Saccharomyces cerevisiae S288C: one gene and its partners. The protein of the gene in region 2 interacts with the protein of the main gene of each other region in a pairwise test. Each region holds a gene or a part of one and is shown on either strand. Other genes may lie near its edges. The genes, in order: ZDS2, BOI1, YER158C and YJR056C.

Region 1 (5,173 bases), on a different chromosome or scaffold from region 2:
TCGTATTTGATATGACCTTCGTTCGGTATACATATTTCGGCATCGAACTTATCAAACCAGGTATTTAATTCGTCCAGTTCGTCAACATTAAATGGAAGTATCAACTCGTCAACAAATTCATGCATTTTTCCCGGCTTACCTTTCAAAAATTTTTCATCTTCTTTATTTATCTTGGTGTCGTCTTCTAGTAAGACGAGCATCCTATAAGTATTACTCTTGGACATTTCGTTTTTCTCTTTCGTCTTAGTGTAGTACGAGATAGAATTCAACCGCAAGGTAGCCTTGCTGTATTGGACAGATCATTCGAATTTGTTCCAAATAGGATGAGATGAGGTCGGCTTTTCTTCATTCTCGCTAGAAAATTTAAAAAAAAAGAAAAAAATAATTACATAAATATATATTTATATGTATATACTGTAGTCCTTCCTTGCATGAAAAGACGACGTTTTTCGTGATAATAAGAAGTTTGACACTAAAAGGGCATCCTTACAATACTTGAAATATGTGGCCTTATATAGGTATCTATCAATCTTGTAAACAGTTATGAGTTAAATGTCTGGAATTAAGATTGTGCCATCAGAATCATTTTTGTCCATCATTCCCAAGGCAGAATCACCATTGAAGGCTATATCTCCAGTGCCCACCTGCTCCATGTATAAGGTATGATTGACTAAATTCAAGTAGGAGTACATGAAGTTACTTAGCAATACTTGTTGTCTTAATTCCCTCCCGGGATCGCTAAGCTTCAGATGGCTGAGTCTGTAAATAGCCCTTTCAACATTAATTCCTAGACGATGGTCAAACATAATCACTGTAGAGTTGGTTATCATTGGTAATGGGAATCCAAAAGCACTGTCTGTGAATTTTATTGGAGCGTTTGAGTAATCTGGTTTAACGACATCTTCAAATGTCAATTTTCTTGGAGGCAAAGTTGAGATTTGAGGGGCAGTAGGTGAAGTGTTGTCTTCTCTCTCTGCTCCTATATCCTCTTCTAGTCCAGCTGTCGTATCTCTACTGATACTAGAGTGCACTTCGACGTCGTAGTTTACATCACCACCACTAATATCAAATGAATCGTCGCCATCTAACTCGCTTATAGTTTCCACCACAAATTCAGAACTGTGGCTAGTATGGCTGTCAGGAAGAAGGGTGGAAGCATTTGAACTTCTCACTTCTGGTTCAATGACGCTTGCTGTATCTATATCTTCGGTGGTAATTGTTTTGGTGGGGGATGAAGGGCGTTCAACTTCCGCTTCTTGGGGCTTTTTCTTGGGACTTTTCCTGAATTTTGATAAACTCGAATGCGAAGCCTTCTTTTTCAGTTCTTTTTTAACACTTTTTTTGATTACTTTCACATCTGATTTGCAGGTACCATTATGTTGTTTTCTTTTGAATAATTTGGCAAGCCTTTTCTCCAAGGAATTTTTCTTATGTGTACTGGCTTGGGTGTCAGTAGGCAGTTCTACCTTTTTCTCCACGACTGCCGGTGCAGTAGGCTTAGATGGCTGGGATTCAGATGAAGAAACGACTGAAGGAGTGATTACCACGGATTTTGCTTCTTCAGAATGTATCTGGAAAATTGGCGAATGTCTATTTTTGGAATGGTTTATTCTTTCAGAGGCACGTTTGGTAGATTTCGCTCTCCTCGATACACTCAAGTTAACAAAGTCAGCTTTTTCATTGTCCACACATTCTTCATCGTCTTCATCATCTGTAAGCTGTTGATAAGTTTGTTCATTAGCGTTCAAACTTCCATTGCTAGAATTCAACCATGACCAGCCATGATTTGCTTCGCTGTTATTGGTATTTGATTTTTCACTCGAGCTAACGTGCTGATCCAATTTTTCAGAAATCATCGAACCAGTGTTATGCGGCTTTATTAAAACGCTGTTGTTAGAACTATCTGTAGATAAAAGACTGCTCTCTTGAGAAATAGATGCATGTGTCAAATCTTCTTCATCCGAATAGTAGTTGGTGCTATCAACGTATTTCTCATTTTCGGTACTCCAATCAGTACTTGTTCTTCTGTAATGGTCGAAAATCTCGTGAAAATCATTCAATGATGCTTGCTCCTGAGGCACTTGTGTGTAGGAGGCAGGCGATGATGCACTTCTGCGATTGTCATTAGTTTGTATATTCATTAGGCTATTGAGTTTTACCGCCTGTGGAAGGCTACTACCCTCTAGTCTGATCTTATATGTGTTGAATTTAGACCTCCTTAGAGAAGATCTCTCTGGTATGGTAAGTCCAGTTTCATTAAACATATTTGATGCAAATTCGTTATCATTTTCAGTGTGATTGCCGTTCAAATGAAGACTTTCGTTGGTAAATGACCCTGACATGCTCAAGCTTCTGGCTAAAGTCACCGCATCTGAGTCCGTTAAACCGGCATTATTGGAAATCTTAGTAAGCTCTTCAGTAATTTCTTTCAAAGATACAGATCTTATGGTTTTGATGTCAGATGAGGATATTCGCTTATCCACTTGTATTTCTCCTTCTTGTGGTTTGTCTGCAAGGGGAGGTTCGTCATCAAACTTGGTATAAGATGTCTTCAACCGAGAAGGCCTTCTAACTACAGAGCCCGTGCGTTTTCTATTCGAAATTACATGATTGTTACCCAGTTCTAATTTGTTTTCATCAATGTCTTGATTTGTGCTTATTTGAATGTTTTGTAAAGTGTCCTGGATCAATTCCAAATAGTTTTCGGGCTTAACGTTAGGATGTTGGTCAGCGGGCACCCACAAAAGGTTTTGAGTTAAATCAACCATTTTTGAATCGTGGTCGTTCTCCACATCCAATACAACATCGTGAGCCAATGTCTTTACTCCACTGAGCCTTCTGTTCCTCGACGTTACTCTTGCTGAAGATGAAGTGGATGAAGAAGCATTACGGATGATTTTTTCCTTCTCCAATGTTTCTTCATCATGCAAATACTCTGTTTGAGTGATATCTATACTGTCGTCGACATTAGTAGCATCGCCCTCTTCATATGCATCATTGTCTTCGCTCCCTTGTTCTTCCTTTTGTTCTGATCGTATAATGTTCTCTTCATGGAGCGATTCTTGAAGGGATTCCTTTGAGGAATCTGAAGAATATGAGTTTCTACTGTTCACTTTGAACTCTAGCTCAGGGTCAATTACCAAATCCATTGAACCAATCGACAATCGCTTCAAATTTTTCACATTCTGAATTTCTGTATCTAAAGACTTGGCAGCAATTAACACGTCAGATTTCCTCTTCTCAAAAAGCTCCTTCTTGGACAGCTGTGTCTTCCTCATTCGCCTCATTTGAATATTATTATTACTGTCCGTACCACCACTACTGTTTTCTACAGTATTATGGCCATCTTTGTTTTGCATATCTTCCATCAGTACCATAAAATTCTAATTTAAATTCAGTCTATAGTGCAAACGTGATCAATGTAAAGTATACGATACTACTAACCTTGACACTGTTCTTTAGCGTTTTACTCCAGTTTTCAATCATATTATTATGATCTAACGAAGATGAGATGAAAACAAAAATAAGACGCGGCGTGTGCTACCCGCACAACGCGTCAGCAAATGTTACTGGTCACAATAATCATGCACTTATAATTAGCTACAAAAGGCCACTTCTAGGTCCAATGTGACCATTTTGCAGCCAAATCAAGCATAAACCGGCCGTGATACTATCGGCGATACACAGCCTAAATTTCTGAGTTTTGCGGTTTTCTCTGTGGGAAAAGTGCGAGAATTTTTCTGAATTGGGAAGAGTACATGTCAAAAACGGGAAGTGACACCATTGAGCAAATATCAAGGTATCCGATAGTTCTGTTCTCGATATTGGAACACAGTTATTTGGCAAATGTATCATTAAATGAAAGTCTTTCCGTATAGGATTCTGCCCTGTTGCCTGCTCTTCCCTAATATGGAAACTAGCTTCCGCATTTGACAAAAACTGAAAAAGTGGAAAAAAAAGGATCACACAAGAAACTATAAGGATATCTGCCACCTTCACTCCTTATACAGCTGCTGTTACAATTGCAAAGGGAATAGTACAGATCGCAGCAAGAAAGATATAATGTTGATTTCTTCACGGATCGTTCGAAGCTCGCTGGTAAATGTCCCGCTAAGATTATCTAGGTGTTTTACGCAAGCTCACAGAGCATGCAAAGAAGAAGAAGTTAATAGTCCTTTATCATCCGCAGCTGAACAGCCAGAGCAGAAGTATACGCATTTTGGTTCGAAGACTGTATTGAAGTCTACCAAGCAGAAGTTAGTTGGTGATGTCTTTTCTTCCGTGGCCAATCGGTATGACTTGATGAATGATGTTATGTCATTAGGAATTCATAGATTGTGGAAGGACCATTTTATCAATAAACTAGATGCGGGAAAAAGGCCAAACTCTACGACTCCTTTGAACTTCATAGATGTGGCTGGGGGATCCGGTGATATTGCTTTCGGATTACTAGACCATGCTGAGTCGAAATTTGGTGACACTGAGTCTACAATGGATATTGTAGATATCAACCCTGACATGCTTAAAGAAGGTGAGAAGAGAGCCATGGAACAAGGAAAATATTTCAAGGATCCTCGTGTGAGATTTTTGGTTTCTAATGGTGAGAAACTAGAGGAGATTGATTCTGATTCCAAGGACATCTACACAGTCTCCTTCGGTATCAGAAATTTCACCGATATTCAAAAGGGTTTAAACACTGCTTATAGAGTTTTGAAACCGGGCGGTATTTTTTATTGTCTAGAATTTTCCAAAATTGAGAATCCCCTAATGGACTTTGCTTACCAACAGTGGGCTAAGGTCCTACCTGTAATGGGCTCGATGATTGCTAATGACTACGACTCTTACCAGTATTTGGTGGAGTCTATCGAAAGATTTCCTGACCAAGAAACGTTCAAATCCATGATTGAGAAGGCAGGATTCAAATCTGCTGGCTACGAAAGTTTAACTTTTGGTATATGTGCCATCCATTGGGGCATTAAAGTTTAAAGTAAATAGAACAAATTTCCTTTTTTTTTTGTCAAGAAAATCGAAGCTAGTAAAACATGCCTATACTATTTCTGTCTCTCTTCTTCTTTAGTAATACCTGTGCCATGTGATAGCCATATATTTTGCTGTGATGTGCAGAATTCGTATATACTAGGGGGAAATAGAACGAAAGAAAGAAAGAAAAAAA
Region 2 (5,186 bases):
ATGACAAGATATAATGTTGCTTTGCAAACTTTTGAAGAATTGGTGAAACTCGTTCCTGATGATGCCACAGCCCATTATTTGCTGGGTCAAACATATAGAATAGTTGGGAGGAAAAAAGATGCAATCAAGGAGCTAACTGTTGCTATGAATTTGGATCCAAAGGGTAACCAAGTTATCATCGATGAATTACAAAAATGTCATATGCAAGAATAAACGCAGGTTGGCCAAAACATAACAAATTGAAACATGTTAAATGTTTTCATAATTCTTTTTGTTCTTCGTTGTTTCATATTTATTTTTAAGTTAATGTAATAGTAATAGTTAATAATAATAACGTTAATGGTAACAATAATAATAATATATATATCCAGTAATTTGAAAGAAGAGGACATCATGTCTGCGGTTCCTGCGATGTACTTCTTGATAGTATCAGTGTCTAATTTGATTGTATTAATTCGTAAACTTTTTATTTTTATATACTTTATATCACTATATTATGTTCTATTAAATATTAATTATTAAGGTGTTTAAGTTGGTCAAGAAGTAACTAATGATTGCAGTTCTCAAAGTCTGCCACCAGGGTATTCAAATGCTGAACTTTCCAGGTAATCGCTGGTCTCAAATTGATCTTGTTCGATTGGATAATTAGAATTTCTTTTATTTTGGGTGTCATCCCATCCAAATTGATCTCTTCCCTCTTCCTCTTCAGCATCTCTTAACTGGGTTTGTAACCTAGCTTCTTCCAATAGCGTCTGTGCCTTGCTTAGAGGTATCGTTGGTGTGGCATATGAACTAATGACAGGGACGCTTGTATCAATATCAATAGTGGCCTTTATTATGGCTGACAGCCATGCCTTCATTTCAGATTTATTCTCAACTGCAAAATAGTGAACGCGAGGTTCTGTAAAGGTTAGCCCCTTTTTGGACCCCGGTTGCGGAGGGACCAATTTGAAACAGTATTTTCCTTTTCCTAAGCTCGCAGCGTATAAGGAAATGAGCCTATCATCATCACTGGCAGGTAAGACCCTATGTGCCGTTATATCTATCAGGCCACGCTCCTTCTCATCATTGGTATTCGTAAAATAAGAAAGCCTTGTTCCATGAAGTGTGAAAAACCGTTGTTTCCAAGTCCCCATAGCACCGGTACCTTTTTTGCTCATCCAGCCTGAACAGTCCGCAGTTTGCATAGATTCCTTTGCTGTGATAGAGCGTATACCTTCGGTAAAAGCAGATGTTTGTTGCTTTTTAGCATTCGACCTGGGAAGTATCGATTTGGTAGATTTTTGGGTAAGTTCACTGGGAGATCTTTTGAATTCCTTGCTTCCTACAAATGATTCTTTGGTGCTACTAAATAATTTCTTTTTGCTTTTTTCTTCGGAAGAGCCATCTTTGGAGCTACTGTTCTTGTGTTTGTGCTTGCTCTTGTGCTTGTGCTTGTGCTTGTGCTTCCCTTCACTTGGTTGTGATACTGCCTCCTTATTATTACTACTAGTAGGAGTTTCGCTATGCGCTAAAGCAATATTGGATTTGGAATTTATAGGGCTTAAAGAAGTTTTCAAGGGGCTGGTAACTAACGAGTGTTTTCTACTATGGGAGTAAGATTGTGATCTTGCATGCGAATAGGAATTCGACTGAGAACGAGAATGGGAAGTCATCTTTGCGGGATCGATAGTGAAAGTTTGTTTGGTTGGTGACGTTGGATTAGACTGACTTTTTGAAGAAAAAAAAGATAATATAGAAGAGTTTCTCCTATGCTTTTTCATTTCAGAAAGTGAGGCATCTCTTGAATGTCCGTAAGACGACTTTCTGCGTGCTGAGTCAAAAACTGCTCTGCTAGCTTTTGAAGGTTGTTTCGTTTCTTCTTCGTCGAAACTTGACTTGACTGGCGATAGCATTGAAATCCTGTTGAACAAATCAACAAATGAGCTTCCGGATTCCGTCCTCTTATGGTTATTGTAAACAACGGAATTTCTGTTCGGATGATGAGATGTAGCATTTGAAGATATATTTGAAATTGCGGGTAGAGATTCATCTGTGTTAACCGTGTTAATAGAAGGTATAGTAGCAGATGTCAGTGTTGTTTTCCTAGAGTTCGAGTCATGACCATTCATGGCAGGGAATTTGAACTTGCCCGTTGAATTATCGGAAGATGTCGAAGAATTTGGAATTAGCCCATTTGAATAAACGGTTGGGTTCTTGTTTTTAGGTGGATATGTTGTTTGAGGAGGAAACCTTGCGTTATTATTTGTGTACCTGTTATTAAAAGAGGGCGATTGTGGAGGTTGAACTGGACTTGGATATGATGGTGGTTTTGGAGCCCTTCCCGGTGATTCGAAAATATCTTTATCAGCAAACAAATTAGGAACTTCTGTCATATCTAGGATCTGCTCAGCTGGGTCGTGAAGTTTAAAATTGGGATTAACAACAACCGAGCTTGGTCTTTGCAATTCTGTGGTGACCGAAGATGATTTTCTATCAGAGCTTTCACTTGACAACTTGTTACACTTGGAGGAAATTTGTTGTTGGATTTCGTCTCTATTTACAGTGGCTGCAGGCATTAGTTGGGCAGCTTGGTTTTCAAAAGCAAAGGTAGAGTAGTCGGCGTCCAGTTTATTTGACGACGAATCAATTGCAGACTTGATGTTCCTTATTTCTTTGAATATCTGAAATCTTATACCAAAAGAATTTATTTCCAATTCTTTTAGGTGTTCCAGTTCTAATTCCAGTAGTATTTTTCCGGAGACTTGATGCTCTTTGAATTTATTGCAAGTGGATTGATCAAATCCAACCAAGCTAAAGTAATCAGTAACCTCTTCTGGGCTCCAACTTTTAGCCATTTTCAAATCTAATTGACGAACTGATTCCGAACTCGGTTCTAGGGATTTTGTTGATATATTTGACTTACTTATATTCTTCAAAGATTCAGAACTTAAGTTTAAATCCGCTGTGCTAGAAAATAACGAGTCATGTGTCGTGTTTTCCTCATTTCTGGTTTTTTCTTGAATCAAAGTCTGTTCATCTTGCAACTGTGGAGTGCTAACTTCGGGCACGCGTGTGGGCGATTTTGATACCTCTTGTTCAACTGAACCACTTCTTAGCTCTTCCAAGGCTTTGTCTATATCGCTCATTGTACTTTTCAATGATGTATATCTGTTCTCCTGTTGATGCGAGGAGACTTTACCTATGTTACTCGCAGAATCATTTAAATTTCCATATTTAACACCAGAATTTCCACTCTCTTGGGTTGGTGATTTGTGCAGGTTCTCTGGTTTTTCTATTGCTATTCTTTTGGTAAATACCGCTGGGTATAAACCTTCCTCTTTGGTTCTCAAATTGCGCCCATAATACCAGCCGTCATTGTACTCCCCATCATCAGTAATGACTTTAATTTTATCACCTGGTTTCATATTGAGCTCGTCCTCCATTCGTTTAGAGTACTGATTTACCGCAATATACAGAGGAAAAGATTTGGCCCCTTTGCCTAGGGTATTTCCTTCGAGACTCATCTTCTATTTTTTATTATTACAGTGGCCTCCGGTCACCTCGAGTTAGAACTTTGTTGAAATTCAGTAAAACAATTGTTTCTTTAGACAGACGCAGTAAAACTGCTTGATAGAGCGAAGAATTGCCTTTAATTGACGCACCCAATTCTTCGGATGTAAATCAGAAAGTATCCTAAGGGAAGCGTATAGTTTTCAGTTTCTTTTTCCTTTTTTTTTTCGTTTTCTGCCAAATTTTTAGTGCCATGTTATTCATTTACCTTTCACGTCCTTTCGTTTGTTTTGGTACGGGGGAATGTCGTTTCCGACTACGCGGTTTCGAAAGTAGTGCAATGTGGCTGAGCTCTCCCCCCCACACGTGATAGCCTTTCTTACGCGTCAATAGAATAGAAAGCTCACATACTCTTGAATATTTGGTAACATCTTTTGAAGGACAAGTTCATACAATTATATGATATGCTTCAAGTTTTCCAGAAAAGATTTCTAGGCATGCCATACTTCCCTTTTTTTTAATTTTTGTCACGAAATCCTGGTATTTATTCTTGGAATGTATTTTTTTCTTTTGAAACACATTACCAACTCTTTTCAAAATCTCCAGGAATGGCAGAGAAGAAAACAAATTTTTATCTGCAAAACCCCGGAGAACACTCAAATTCCTAAATCATGACTGTACTGTTAAGTCATGCCGTAGTAAATATTGCACGATATCATCTTGATGTAAACTGGACTTCGTTTAGATCTACCAGCATACCAGCTCTACGTTTTCTGATAATTTAGCTCCACTTCGTTAAAAAAATTTACCGGCTGATAGGGAGAGAGTCACTGCTTCGATAGAGACTTTAATTTTAATATTACTTTCATCTTCATGCGGCTCGGCTCCCATGTATTCACCGCTCGTAGAAGGGAGAAGAGTTGGTAACTTTTCTTTTTCATTTCTTGCCCAAATATTGCGAACATGATAGCAGTTGATGGAAACGTAATCAGTTAAGTGTCTTAATTAGCCACCATTCAGAGGTCTTGGATGCATATATAACAATCTCGGCGGCTAAATCAAGATATTTATTTCCGGGTAAAGAACGCGTGGGTATATTTCTTTTTTTTTTTTCGGGAGAAGTTTTCTCAGGGTCCCCCCCCTTTGTATCTCTTAAGATGACCAAGTACGGTGACAACGGCAAAGCTCACTTGCTAATGAAGGAGTGAACACCTTCTAATTTCATTCAGGTTGCTTAGAAGTATTAGGTACCCAAGAAAGGTATAATACCGCTCACAAAATATTAAGATGCCATTTAATCATAATAGCAAGGCAAAAAGACCAAAGTTTCTACTGGACCTGCAAATCAAAGAATTGGTAAATATTCCTCAATCTTCTGGCTATTGCTACACGAAATGGCGTTTGAAGGATGGAACAGGTACGTCGGGACACAAAGTGGCTCTGGACGGTGAGCATCAAACCACTTCGACCCAGAGTAGAGGTACAACAAAACACGTGCATGTGCAACATCATAGAGCACAATGGAATTATTCATTAGACAAACCAATCCTGGTGAAGCTCCACTTGGATAAAAACGGCAGATTCTTGAAGAAAATTTTGGTGTTGGATGTTTTTTTTGAGTTTGCTGATGCGAATTCCTCGTTGACTTCTAGTTCTAGTCCCAATGGCAAAGTGAAGAAAACGACCTATGCTAA
Region 3 (3,999 bases), on a different chromosome or scaffold from region 2:
GATTATTTTTCTTTTAATCAACTTTTTCGGATATCGTAACCCGGCATCTGTGTTACGTTGTGTGTTTATATTTTTTTAACTGTTCGTGAATTATGACATTCTATAAAAAAGAATCTTTTTGTATTTAAGGAGAAGAATTTTCCAGGCCAAAATTAATTTTTTTTTTTTTTGTCAGGTAGCGTGATATTTCCTATTACCCTTAAAACACATGAATTTGCGAAAGAAAGGGCAATGCACTGAGAAATAAAAAGGCAGGCAAAGAAAAACGTATACAAAAGGGGATTATTTTATTTTGGGGCATTAAAACCAAAAACGGAAAAAAAAGCACGTCACGAAAATAAAAATTCAAAAAAAAAAATAAAACCAGTTACAGTACTCATCACTACATTCTTAATGGCAGATCAAGTACCAGTTACAACACAACTACCACCAATAAAACCTGAACATGAGGTACCACTTGATGCTGGAGGGAGTCCAGTAGGTAACATGGGTACCAACTCGAATAACAACAACGAGCTAGGTGATGTATTCGACAGAATAAAGACACACTTCCCTCCGGCCAAGGTAAAGAAAATAATGCAGACAGACGAGGATATAGGAAAAGTTTCACAAGCCACGCCCGTAATAGCGGGCAGGTCCCTAGAGTTTTTTATAGCGTTATTGGTGAAAAAAAGCGGGGAGATGGCAAGAGGACAAGGAACCAAGAGAATAACCGCCGAAATACTAAAAAAAACAATTTTAAACGACGAAAAATTCGATTTCTTAAGGGAAGGTCTATGCGTAGAAGAAGGCCAAACACAACCGGAGGAAGAGAGTGCCTGAGCAGAACGGGGCGATGTAACTTAGTGTAAAATGAATACCACATCTATATATATCCATATACCAATGTATTTATATCTATATATGTCTGCACATATATATTATACTCTATTATCAAGGACGAAACGTAATCACATATGTATCAACGACAACCGGCGCCTCATGTAATCTGTACCTTTCTCTACAGTTACATAGCATGAGTATGTGTATTCCTATTTAGGAAAAAATTAACGCTATTCTTAAGGTTTACGAAAGAGCATGCATCACCCCATACGATCCCCGGAGTAACTCCCGCAGGTGGGTGTGCGGGCGCTCAGCCTGCTATACGATTTAGAAACGAGGCGCTGCGTTACCGTCTGTGACTTCTTAAATAAGATTTTTAGGTGTCCCATCCTTCCAACTGTGCCTACACCAGAAAGACAAAAAGAAAGGAGGAAAAAGAAAAGCTAATTTTTTCTTTCAAGTGCCAAAGGAAGCGGACGAAGGGCTAGCTCGAGGATTCTTGCAGCAACGGAGGAAGGAGTGTGAAAAATCGTTAAGGTTCTCGCGGTTTGCACCGCGTTGCGTTCGAGACACCAAAGAAATGTATACTTGCAGATTGTGCTGATATGCTAGTTTAAGCCCAAGCGGTCTGGTTGTTGGCTTCTTGCTTCTGATAATTACTTAATATTAATACCTCAAAATTACGCACTTGGAAATATAATACAGGCGTACTCCTTTTGTATTTGTCTTTCATCTGCACTTGACTTCAGCTTTCTTTACTACTGCTCTATATACAGTAATCTGTTTACACTCATCATCAAATAACTGAAGGAGAGCTACGGCAAAATACTTGTTTATTGTCATATTATTGCTATTGTTGTTTTTTCCGTGCTGACACAATAGGATTCATTTTACCAGGCTAAACACATAGCCACCACCGCTCGCTACTACTTCCACTCACTCTTAATCAGCATGTTACAGCAGGGTTCTTCCTCGAGGAGGAGTTTGCATGGTAATGATTTTCACACGCTCACTTCTCCTTCAAGGAGAGACTCTTTGAGTATTCCTAGGGCTGTGGACGCTAGATCTGCGTCTACGATTGATCTGTTCTACATACCGGATGCTACCGTCTCAAGGAGGCACTCTACTCTGGTGGCTAATAGATCAGACAATAATGGTAATGGCGCACCGATGCGCCAGTACAATAAACCTAACTTTGCTTCCTCCTCGACTTCATCTCTGCCTTCAACTAGAAATCGCCCCTCTCGCTACGATAACATGAATATGAATATGAATATGAATATGAACATGAACATGAACATGAACATGAACATGAACAACCATACTACCAGTGATCACAATGCGCACCCGCAATATCGTTGTAGACCAAACCCGTCCAGACGCCACTCCTTAATGACCATTCCCGAAAAGTACTCTGGTAGTCGCTACAGTCTCCGATCATCCCCGCCTACCTATTCTAATCCACGTGTTAGGAAGGAACTTACTCCTTTCCAATTACAAAGAAAGCAGATGAAAAGCGCTTTTCAATTCCCCAACGGTGAAAATTTCACGCCAAGAAACCAGATAGCAAGGCTTCCGCCATCTTCGACTTTTCCCGACTCTCCTTCTAGTTCATCGTTGCCTTTGACCCAGACTGGAGGCCCATCTTCCGCAGATAACGATTCCATTGCCACTGGCACGAACAATCGTTCTCCTCAACAAACGAAAGCTGCTGATGCTAATCAGAAATCTGAATCCGAGTCTCCAAAGGCAATTAGATCAAATTCTAAAAAGATATCTCGTTTCTTCAGGAAAATCTGGTCGTCCAAGTCATCAAATTCTGCAGATTCCGTAGAAGAGAATAGCAAAACAAAGCAGAAAAGGAAAAATCCGGAGAGAGTTGTACCAGAACCGATAACGTCCCTTGACCAACCGGTTGAAATTATAAAACAGAGTTTTTCAACCGTTAACAATCACGAAACGGCTGTACCTTCAATTAAGGACTCTGGCATAGTACAAGAATTGACAGCACTCGGAGATAATAACAGGATACCAGTTCTTCCACCCCCTAGGTCACCAAACAGACCTACACTGTCTGATAAACGAACTACAAAGTTATACTACTGTAGTCAAGATTCGTCTAATGAAGATATTGCTCCAGAGGAAAAGAGCACCGTTTTCTTAAAGCGTTTGCAGGATGAATGGTCTACCGTGTATTTAAACAAATTGCCTTTGACTGCTTCTGTGCCATCTTCTCTCTCTACCACTACTGATGCTGCGAACTCTTCGTTCATAAACTCTTCAATATCATCGCCGGCTCCTTCTTCTTCGTCCTCGTCATCGTTGGTTTCCCGTGGACCAATGCAATCCATATCTTCTTCGCCAACACCTGCCCCTTCTTCAGGGTCATCGAAATCTAAAAATGCCGTCAAATCCTTACGCTTTGCGGATGAGATTTATGTAAACGATACGTGGTCCGCCGCGGACTATTGCAGGTGTGATAATACCTTTTTGAATAATTTCTTTAAAGGAAAGAGCCAAGACATTACCAATCCTTCTACTTTTGTCGGTAATAATCTCTCATCCACAAAAAATATATCCAATATTGAAATCAAAATGGAGGTGAATGAGTTCAAAAGAAAGGAAATGCGCGTTCACCAGGATAGCGCTAAGTATACACATTACTACTTATAACGGGTTCATCAAGCTTTTTTCCTTCTTGAGACTCTGTTGTATCTCTTTATATATTCTATTTTATTTTATATGCATCGAACTTTTTACGTAAGATAAATACTTACTACATTTTGGATAATTGTTTTAACAGGTTAATTTCTATAATCTATTTTTTATCTGCTCTTATAGCATTCAAATATTTGCAGCGGTAAAAAATTATGGTTAAGACCCGCGCGACTGTAAAAATAGCGCGTAAGATTTCCCTGAAGAGCGATGAGTTTTAACATTTAAAAGATATGTCTGAGATCAATCGCTTTTTTACCAGCTACCTAACTTTATAACCTTAACCGATAATTAGAATTTTTTACAGTGATTATCTAAGAGTGTTAATGAAGTTTTTATTGATGGATGCTTGCTTAACGCGGGGGCTCGAAAATTACTTAATCACATTTTTATCGCCTATGGACATACTGATAGGGAATATTTGAATTATATCATTTCGAATAATGTTCAGAATATAGTGCT
Region 4 (3,238 bases), on a different chromosome or scaffold from region 2:
CAATTCTATAAATATTATTATCATCATTTTATATGTTAATATTCATTGATCCTATTACATTATCAATCCTTGCGTTTCAGCTTCCACTAATTTAGATGACTATTTCTCATCATTTGCGTCATCTTCTAACACCGTATATGATAATATACTAGTAACGTAAATACTAGTTAGTAGATGATAGTTGATTTTTATTCCAACATATCTCAACATTAATTACTCGGAACTTTTTTTTGATTTGTTATATAATAACAGAAAATCCAGATTTGTACAGAAAGAAAATCCGTGATAGTTTAATGGTCAGAATGGGCGCTTGTCGCGTGCCAGATCGGGGTTCAATTCCCCGTCGCGGAGATTTTTTTGGCTACTGTTGCGGTTACATATAACATACTTTTTGCATATATCGTAAGTTATCAGACACCATCTGGCTCACTGAAAGTTTATTTCTATGTGCTTTCTGAAACGTATGTATATATGAGATTCAAAAACAATATTTAAATATTTTCGATATTATACCTACAATGCAATGGGCTCCTTCTAACTTGAGAACCTCTTCCCGGGTGTTCTTACAGGTCCATATCCTGGCGGAAACTCCTTATGTCTACTTCTGAATCAGAATCCAATTTCGGTTTTTTTTCATAATGTGTATTTTCACGATCACGCTCACGCTCATGTCCAAGTCCCGTTATGTCATTTAGGTTTCTCGTGTCCCCTCTTCCGTGATTGATTGTTCGTGCTTTCCAGGATTTTATACGACTAGCATTCCTAGGAGGATGTTCGACACTTAAAGGCGGCATAGAAAGTCTAAATTTAGGTGCTATATTTTCATTAATATTTGAGAGGTCCCCATTTGATTCGTTGAAACTGAAATTATACTTGACTGCGCTGTCTTTTTCAAAAGGTTCCTTATGAGCTTCATTTTCGCGGTGTTGGTTTTCACTGAACTTATTAAGCTTTCTTTCCCTTTCTTTCACCGGATTTAAAGATTTATCCTGCGAGTTTGAAAGGATATCATTTCTTCGTTTATAGCACCAAGCCCTTAACTCGTCAGCAGTCACATTTGAGTCCAATGCACATAGTATATCATCCAAACAGGTGAGGTAGCCCTGATGTTTGGTTAAAGAGTTTTTCTCATTAGCCACCCGGTAAAGTCTTGTCACCGCATTGGCGGCTAGCTTGAACTCTTGAGAAAGTTCCAAATTAAGACTCTCAATCGCTTGCTTTGTAGGAGGTTGCTCTGGAGGTAAACTTGATTCCAATGAATGCATTTGCTCCATAATTGAATATATTCTGCTCTTGAATTAGATATGTGTCGTCGGTAAAAAAGGTTTCTTGAAATGTAATTGTATGAGCTGCCACGATGCTAAACTGCAAAACGACGTAAGACAAGTACAGTAGAATGAATGGCTGCGCTTCACCACCAATGATTTGTATCAGGCTAACGTGCACTTGGAAGGTGGAAACGATGCTTTTGTCCAGATGCCTTTACGAGTAAGGAAAAAGAACCATTTGAAATTTTTTCAAGCGCACTTTTAGAACAAATTCGAAAAGTGAAGAAAATATAGGTGGGGTAACAAGGAAAAGAGGCTACAAGAGTTCGTTAATATATTATCTCCGTATTGTGTAAAGGAATATGTCACAATTTGATAATAACTCTTCGTTAAGAGCTTGAAAGAAATATTTCAACTTGCAAGTCTGGGAAGTGAATGGAGACATAAAAAACAAAAAAATCTCCCGGGGGCGAGTCGAACGCCCGATCTCAAGATTTCGTAGTGATAAATTACAGTCTTGCGCCTTAAACCAACTTGGCTACCGAGAGTATTTAATTGTTGAAGAAAGAGTATACTACATAACACATATACAATTGAAAAAGAGATTTCAAATAATTATCCGGTCCTTCCAAGATGGTTCAGAGTGAAATTTATACTAAAGCTAAGGGATGGAAGAGAATACTGACAAATTAATGAACAAATACTTGAAATGAGATAGCAACTGAGGAACAAACGTAAGTATTTTCAACGGAATTAGAAATAGCGACATCATGACCAGCTTATTCGCAAATGTGATTTTCGGTTGGGAAGTATTAAGTCAGCATCATCATATGAAAATACTTCATAACTTTTCTGGAGGATACCTTTTGAAGAGAGAAACCTGTATTTTGCACAGTGGATTAGAGCCGAAACTTCATATGCTGCTGCGTTATTTTCCATAGCTATAGTAACGTTGGAACAAGAATCAACTATTACCTATCGAAGAGTTTTCATGTTACTATTATATTATCCCATACTGTGTAAGAAGATAACATAAGGATTGAGAAACAGTAACAAAGTCTAATGAAAGCTAAAAATGCAAGGATTGATAATGTAATAGGATAATGAGTGACAAAGTATCAAAGAAGGAATAAAAAAAAGACATTATTATGTTGAACTAGTGACACCCTTTTGTGGATTCCTACATACCCAGAGAGAACTCCTAGTATATTCTGTATACCTAATATTAAGTCTTTACCAACAATGGAATCCCAGCAATTATCAAAAAATTCACCTTTCTTCCAAACATTAATTTGTTCCACGGGTCCATTTTTATAATTACGAAATAATTGTGCATTGGTAACAAAGGGAGAAAGCGATATCCTAAACTAGTAGGTTACAGTTGATAATATAAAAAGTTGGAAAATAGCTTAGAAATGAAGAAGAGAATAACGGCTTCTATGCGGTTGTGACTTTTGACGCGTTAGGCGTGGTGCTAAAGATGGCGAAAAAATGTAACGTCTTCCCAAGAAGTACGCTTCTAAACTAAATATGATTCATAGTGGACAGAAAGATCACCATTTTGAATGATGGGTCGTGGCAAATTAATACTGATAGAAGGATTGGATAGGACTGGTAAAACCACGCAATGTAATATTCTTTACAAAAAATTGCAACCAAACTGTAAACTATTGAAGTTCCCCGAAAGGTCTACCCGAATCGGAGGACTCATAAACGAATATTTGACGGATGATAGTTTCCAATTATCAGATCAGGCAATTCACCTCTTGTTTTCGGCAAATAGATGGGAAATAGTTGACAAGATAAAGAAAGATTTACTAGAAGGCAAGAACATTGTCATGGACAGATATGTTTATTCTGGAGTGGCATATTCTGCCGCTAAGGGGACAAATGGAATGGATTTGGATTGGTGCTTGCAACCCGATGTAGGGTTGCTGAAACCGGATTTGACATTATTTTTAAGCACTCAA

What was found.
Region 1: the proteins of BOI1 (region 2) and ZDS2 interact in binary tests that used the Saccharomyces cerevisiae proteins (3 or more experiments, as listed by UniProt).
Region 3: the proteins of BOI1 (region 2) and YER158C interact in binary tests that used the Saccharomyces cerevisiae proteins (3 or more experiments, as listed by UniProt).
Region 4: the proteins of BOI1 (region 2) and YJR056C interact in binary tests that used the Saccharomyces cerevisiae proteins (3 or more experiments, as listed by UniProt).

What each region holds. Positions count from the first base shown.
Region 1 is NC_001145.3:49,844-55,016, reverse strand, and holds ZDS2 (Zds2p), read right to left. Parts: upstream 3,378-5,173; coding exon 549-3,377; downstream 1-548. Other genes in the region: YML108W (uncharacterized protein), read right to left, coding at 1-224; COQ5 (2-hexaprenyl-6-methoxy-1,4-benzoquinone methyltransferase), read left to right, coding at 4,063-4,986. UniProt on the Saccharomyces cerevisiae protein: Acts as a negative regulator of polarized growth via an alternative mechanism to ZDS1. In heat-stressed cells appears to play a role in localizing BCY1 to the cytoplasm. Seems to interact with, and down-regulate, CDC42. Also acts as a suppressor of PKC1.
Region 2 is NC_001134.8:62,196-67,381, reverse strand, and holds BOI1 (Boi1p), read right to left. Parts: upstream 3,507-5,186; coding exon 564-3,506; downstream 1-563. Other genes in the region: anaphase promoting complex subunit CDC27, read left to right, coding at 1-213; YBL086C (uncharacterized protein), read left to right, coding at 4,780-5,186. UniProt on the Saccharomyces cerevisiae protein: Functions redundantly with BOI2 to promote the fusion of secretory vesicles with the plasma membrane at sites of polarized growth.
Region 3 is NC_001137.3:488,353-492,351, reverse strand, and holds YER158C (uncharacterized protein), read left to right. Parts: upstream 1-1,773; coding exon 1,774-3,495; downstream 3,496-3,999. Other genes in the region: negative cofactor 2 transcription regulator complex subunit BUR6, read left to right, coding at 394-822.
Region 4 is NC_001142.9:541,229-544,466, forward strand, and holds YJR056C (uncharacterized protein), read right to left. Parts: upstream 1,275-3,238; coding exon 564-1,274; downstream 1-563. Other genes in the region: CDC8 (bifunctional thymidylate/uridylate kinase), read left to right, coding at 2,834-3,238.